Linked DNA regions of Saccharomyces cerevisiae S288C. The gene in region 2 interacts genetically with the main gene of each other region. Each region holds a gene or a part of one and is shown on either strand. Other genes may lie near its edges. The genes, in order: YPR096C and ASI1.

Region 1 (2,700 bases), on a different chromosome or scaffold from region 2:
AACCGACGGAAGAAGATGTCGATATCCTACTCACAGTAGGAAGAGTAGGAACTAATCTATCACCGTTAAACAGGGTAGGCTCTTGTGATTTTCTGTAATCTCTTGACAATCTATTAGAAGAAGGAAATTTTTCTAGAGCAGGTTTCACAGGAATGAATGGGGCGTGTTTTGAATTTCTCTTTACGTTATCAGACCCGGAGCTAGTAAGCGTGACTCTCTCACCATCGGGCTTGGGAACTTTCTCTATCGAATCTATGTTGTTTTCTGATTTGAAAGGCATTTCTTCAGGATCTTGTCCATTACGGAGGTGTTGTGCAACCAAGATTTCATCATCTTCAGAACCCTTTTCATTGGCTGACCTGAAATTCAAGTCTAACCTACCCATCTTACGCCGTATCCTGCTTAGTTTGCTGTGTTTTTTTGTGGGCTCGCATTCTTTTACATCAAGTTTATCGTCGTCATTATTAGTGTGTTCCTGTATTTCTGCGAGTTGAAGAAAAGGACTTCTATAACTTTCCGACTCTCTTAATTTATCTATGCCTGTTGAAACATTGCTTCCGCCCTTTTTGTTGCCATTTTTATCGTTACTGTGTGATTGAAGGAATTTAAGCTTAATCAACGAAGAAATAGACTGATTCATTATCTGGCAAGTGTGGATTGAAGAGCTGGTCTGGCGGGAAGTTAGCGAAAATGAAGTTACAATGAGTTGAAACAGAGTAAATAATAGGGAGTGGATGCGAGTAACCTTGCGATGTCAAAAGAATTCAAAGTACTATATCTACTGCCTTTCTTTCCACTTGGTGCCTTTTACCCTGAAAGTCTAATGAGCAGGTAGTATAAGAGAAGCAGCTTCTGAAGAAGAGTTCTTTGTACAATAAACCGGCCTTGTGGTGCGAGAGAGGCTTGTAATATAGATTATACTGAAGCCTGTTGAACTTAGCGTCTATTTTCTTTTCGTTCCCTATATCACTTTTCCTAATATTTTCAACATCTCCTTTACGCCAAAAACAAGAAAAAGGACGAGATGGCCTTGGGTTTTTAATGCTTACGCCTGTTTCGCCTCTCATAAGACAGATAAATGTACGTTAACCATTTGACAGTTAACTTTTTAGGCGTGAACAAGGAACGTATTAAAGTGTTTTTCGAATAATTGATCACTTTCTAGCTTTCATTCTTTTTTAAGAGCTACATCCAATTACTGTGCATTGGGCTCTATAAAAAAAGAAAAACGAACCTTACCTTGTGGTCGGAATTGTGTACTGAAATCAGTGGTTGAAGATAATTGTACTAAAGAATCAAAAATAGACAGTCTTCAAATGATTACTCAAGACACTCCTGCTTTAAATCCAACGGAAGAACACTACCTGAAGAGGGAACTGCTTCGATGTCAATTGGATTATGAAATTGGAAAGCTTAACGATCAGTTTGCTTTGAGAAAGTTCGGTTATCCTTTCTCACCAAACGATCCGACAGCTCCACAGCCTATCTCCAATAACGATTCATCACCAGTGCTCGGTGGCAAAGGCCATTTTAGCGTTAATTATCCCATGCTGAGTTATGTTTTGCAAGAATTTATATCCACATTTCCTTTACTTTCAACAAATTTGCTAGTTGATGAAAAATTCTGGCAGAGTAAGGTTCAAGTGTTCTTTGAACATTTCATGAGTCTTGGGTTTAGTGAAAGTTATGACAGGGAGGAAGCTTCAAAAAGGAAGAAAGTTTCCAAAAAGCTATCAAAGGTTATCTTGTTGCTCTTTAACTCCGGTGTTGGCTCTTTTCAAGAGCAAGCGTATTATAATGAGGATAAATTCGTTTTACAGTCAGGCCAAGCGAGAAAACGCTCTAATATTGAGAAATTTGCAATGCCAACTAGAGAAAATTTAGAGAATTTGCTCACTAACGAATCCGTTTTTATTAACGGTTGGGACGTCAATATTATATCCGTGTTCAATAAGAATTCACGGAAATGTACTGAAAGTGTGGATAATGACAAGTCTAGTAAATCTACTCCAACTTCGAGTCCCAAAAGCCATGCTATAAAATCATTTGCTTCCACTTCTAAATGGATGAAGAATGCCTTCAACAACACTATTAACAGTACCATAAATAGTATGCCCGAATCCTCAGCATCTTTATTTTCGAAATTATCCCTTGGCGTGCCTTCAACTAAGAGCAAGCAATCTAGAAAACATCATTATTTCTTGATTAAGATTAAGAAGCAAGATGACGACGACCAAGATAACAGCAATGAAGAGAATAGTAATCTTGATCACCATGCTGGTTATTTCTATGTGACAAGAACATACAGCGACTTCAAAAAACTATCTCATGATTTAAAATCAGAATTTCCGGGGAAGAAATGTCCGCGCTTACCTCATAGAAATAAAAAAGTGACGTCTATGATAACTAAAACCGAAGTGTTACACAATGGGCAAACTAAATCAGCAGCCAGGGAAAAAATCGTCAACACTTTTGACACTGATTTACAATCTGCATCAGAGTCTGATAATTCTTCATTTTTACAGACAACGAATGAATTATCTGCTACAGAAACAGTACTCACAGAAAAAGAAACTGAAACGTTGAGAAAAAATATTCTAAATGAGATCAAGGAAGAAGATAATATTGATGAGGACGAGTATGAGGAAGAAGGTGAAGGTGAAGAAAGTGATTTTGATGAATATAAAGATGCATCCGATT
Region 2 (4,527 bases):
AATCCATTGTACAAGATTAGCTGGTGATAAGGCTGATAATTGGTGGTTCAGACAACACCCTAGAGTTTTGGAGATTAAATGGGCTAAAGGCGTCAAGAGACCAGAAAAATCTAATGCTATCGATTTATTCGTAACCGGCCAAATTCCAACAGAAGAACCAGAATTGTCTGAATACCAATCGAAGTTCGAGGAGATTCCAAAACCATTTACTCCAGAAGAAAGAAAGGAATGGTTGAGTAAATTAACCAACGTTTCTTTGTCATCGGATGCATTTTTCCCATTCCCAGACAATGTTTACAGAGCAGTTAAATCCGGTGTCAAATACATTGCCGCTCCATCTGGTTCTGTCATGGACAAGGTTGTATTTTCAGCTGCCGATTCATTCGATTTGGTTTACGTAGAGAACCCAATCCGTTTGTTCCACCATTAGATGGCATGAGTTCAGAGTCAATATGCCATAAATACAGAAATGACGGCAAATCGATGTATAGTTTATTCTTTCCTCCTCTAATGATATAATCGCCACTGACACTTTTATATATATACTAATGATACGATATGTTATAAGTACAATTTTAATTCGAACATTTCCCAAAGAAAAAAAACTTGATTTATTATTATGATGTTTATATGTGCAACACAGAAAGCTCTAGCTATAGTAATTAATGCTAGAGCTCCCAAACGAAAAACCTCTTTTAGATACCATGCAAAAGTTCTTAAACTATTATTTACTATCTGAAACAGGATGAACCTTACAGTACCCATGAACTTTACTCCTACAACATACGCAAGTGCTGAACCCACGTAAACCCAAAGAAATTCTGCAATCCTCGCAAATGGCAAAACATCGGCAGGGCCATAATACTGTATTTCTTTCATTGACTTTGCATACCGCGCAAGATAGATCAAAATCACTTTCTGTACCAAAAGTCTCATCTACTTCACTTAACTTTGTATCTAAGATAGACGCCCTTGTCAAAGTTTTATCTGACAGTAATTTTTGTTGAAGGATACGGCTAGTTGACATGATCCAATTATAATCAGTATGAACTTCATTATCTTCGGAAGAAAATAAATCCAGTAGGGCATCCCGAGTTTCGTTGAAAATCAGTGAATCTTCTTCCAAGTTTTCTTCATCAGAATCCCCCAGTGACTCAACTTCAGAAGGCTCGTAATCTTCAGAATACTCATCATCTGATGTGTTCAATAGTTCAAGTTCAATATCTTCTTTGTGGCCGGCACTATTATTGAGAGAGTTCGTTTTAGTTATCTTTAACATTTTTGATGGGTCGTTGTCGGGGATGTCCTCGTCCTTGTTATCTCTGAAGCCAAAGAATACTTGGCCTACAAGCTTCTTCATGATCCATATTATAGATTTTGGAAACATTAAAAAAAATCTTTGCTTTAATATTGATGAATTTTTCTTTGGGAAGCTGATGGAAGTGTTCTCTTTATACGGTTTAGAAAGTTCATTTAAATAACCGCTAATAAAAAATTTCTCATTAACATTATCCGGGATGTTAATAGCAGGAAATTCTCTTCGTATACCCTTTTCCATTAGTTCAGTTCCTGAGCATAATAATAGTGCGAATTTAGTGGCCATAGCAGAAAAATCTTCTTCTCCCGTGTAATTTAAGTATTTTTTCCAATTTCTACTGAGAGGGTAAAACTGTAAAAGTTCGCAAGAATTACGTGATTTTCCAAATGGATCCCATCTAATTAAGCATGATAATTTAAAAATCAGTAATGATAAGCAAATAATAGACACTGAAAACAGTTTTGGAAAGTGCCTAAATTTCACCGAAAATGGAAGGCTTTTCCAGCCGCCCTGCTTAACTCTTATCCCTAAGTAACAAATATGACAGAGGTTCATAATAGTACTAAAAAGTAGACGATAATTTCTAAGCCTGAAAATCTCCACCAAATGGATCAATATCCTGCTCAAAATAGCCATAGAACAGTCTATAATGTAATCAGGAGAATCTAAAAATTTAGTATTATTATTAGTCATTGTATAAAACTGAATCGAAAGTTCAAACAATGAATAGTCAGTGCCCTCCAAAGGGCTGGAATTCCGCATGATGGTAAATATGGTTTCGACACAATAAGAGTAAGCGAAAGCGTAGAATATATTCAGTAAAAATTTTTCTTGGGCAAAAGCAGGGTCGCCTAATATTTTGAAATCCTTACCCAAGGTCAGCGGACCTAAGGATACCATTGCTAATACAACTACTGCTGATACATGGAAAACATTACTCAACCATAACGGTAAAGTACGTCTGGAACCGTTGTTAAGGACGGCGTAAAATACAACGAACCGGTTCAGGACAATGGCGATTACAAAGCAAAATATGGCGTACGGGCTGAAAAAAAACCCTATTGTATCAAAAACAGACCTTAGAGTTGGGGGAATTTCTTCAGATTTAACGGTTTGCTCGTACTGCAAGTTCACAGCCCCAATAAAGGATAATCCAAGTCTATAAGGAAAGTTGATAACATTTGCGAAAGTGGAGTTACCTGAGATTACGGCTTGTGATGTTTGATTCAAATAGCTAAATGAATTTATGAACACATTTTCTGAAGAAGTGGAAGAGTTCATATTCTTAGCATAGTTTCTTTGTAAAAAGAAGAAAAAAACCCAGATAAAATTAAGAAAAATACCCCAAAGTGCAAATTGTCTATAAAATATAAAAGTAAGCAGTGATTATCTTCTTGAGTTAAAATTGTTGTGTGGTGAAAGAGTAATTTTAGTACTTCCTTCTATTTTTCTGTTCAAAACAATATAGTTTTCGTAATTGTGTTTTATTGTATTTTCCAATGTTTTTCATATTGCTTACTCAACTGACTTCAAAGTTTGATTCGTAGCTTCTCAATATTTCAACATAAAGGGGCGCCCTCAAAGGAATACGCGAGAAAAAAATAATGGTTGCTAAGAGATTCGAACTCTTGCATCTTACGATACCTGAGTATTCCCACAGTTAACTGCGGTCAAGATATTTCTTGAATCAGGCGCCTTAGACCGCTCGGCCAAACAACCACTTATCTGTTGAAAAGGTGTGACTATAGCAACTATAAGTTGTTATGAGTTGAATAGAATTTAAACTCATTATGGGATAAGCTGCTCGTCTATGCATTGGTAAAAGCACCTCGTTAATATGTAAAGGTCAAAAGGTCATATCAGCGAATAATAAATTTGGATCTTCCTATACTATATAAGAGAGGTTCACTGAACGCAGTCCGATCGGTTTATTATTTGAGATATAGGTGAATTTTGAGATAATTGTTGGGATTCCATTGTTGATAAAAGATTATAATATTAGGTAAACAGAATATACTAAAAGTTCTCCACGAGGACATAGGAATCCTCAAAATGGAATGTATATTTTTACATACTAATATTACGATTATCCCTCTTTCTATTTTATATGTTTCATTATCCTATCATATTATCAATCTTTGCATTTCAGCTTCTTCTAACTTTGATGACAGCTTCTCATAATTTATATCATCATCTAACACCGTCTATGATAATATATTGATAATATAACTACTAGTTGATAGACGGTAGTGGATTTTTATTCCAACATTATTAATCGTGACTAATATAACAAGTTCTCTGGTGGTTACCATATATTTAATGTAAAGACTCGCATGACACATATATATGACTACCACATAAATGTTTAATTTGAAAAAACTTCAGCTCTACTAAGGTACCTGTTGAAAATATCGAAATCCACAAGGACAATAATTTTGCTTGGTAATATTATTATTTTTCTTCCATTGTTTATGTTGATAATTAGAGGTTAAAAATTAGTATTAATGAAGAAGTGAGTACTGATCTTCTTATACTAAATAAGAGAGGTATATAAAACACACGCCGATTGGTCATATTAATTATGACCAATATAATAGTGATTCCGGTAGTTACTATACATTGATGTGACGACTCATATTCCTCATATATGTACCTACCATAACATGTTCAACTAATAGGTCTTTAACACAGCTTCAGTATTGTCTGAGCTTCTCGTTTAACATTCCTTCTGCAATAGGCGCAATCACACTTAAACGTATACGAGTTGTACATTAATATACGATGTAAGCATTAGATTGTTACCATAGCAACTCATGTCACTATTAATTACTCTCGTTCCAACAGTTTATTATATTATCAACCCTGTTTTTCATCTTCCATGGAATTTGGTAACTGCTCCTCACCGATTTATGTCATCTTGCTATTATATGGTAATATACCAAATGTGAAGGTATGCAATTGATATTTTTAGATTTTACCTTTTGGCAAAAAATCAGCACATTAGCAATAAGAAACCGTTTTATCGTTTTGTTCATTTTAATGACTTCACGGAAATTACTAGTTATTAATAGTATTTTACTCGTGAAAGATAATAATCCTTCCAATGATGATTACACTCAAGATACCCTTAAGATTTTTTGGCGTCCATAGAAAACTTCACTATTTATAGAAAATCCTGAGTGCTTCTTTCTTTGTTTATATACTCTGTC

The links.
Region 1: mutations in ASI1 (region 2) and YPR096C together harm fitness more than expected from each alone (negative genetic interaction), as found in Saccharomyces cerevisiae (2 studies listed by BioGRID).

Annotation. Positions count from the first base shown.
Region 1 is NC_001148.4:724,078-726,777, forward strand, and holds YPR096C (uncharacterized protein), read right to left. Parts: upstream 1,068-2,700; coding exon 765-1,067; downstream 1-764. Other genes in the region: Arf family guanine nucleotide exchange factor SYT1, read right to left, coding at 1-640; LEC1 (Lec1p), read left to right, coding at 1,317-2,700.
Region 2 is NC_001145.3:503,405-507,931, reverse strand, and holds ASI1 (putative ubiquitin-protein ligase ASI1), read right to left. Parts: upstream 2,600-4,527; coding exon 725-2,599; downstream 1-724. Other genes in the region: bifunctional phosphoribosylaminoimidazolecarboxamide formyltransferase/IMP cyclohydrolase ADE17, read left to right, coding at 1-430. UniProt on the Saccharomyces cerevisiae protein: E3 ubiquitin-protein ligase which transfers ubiquitin to substrates promoting their degradation.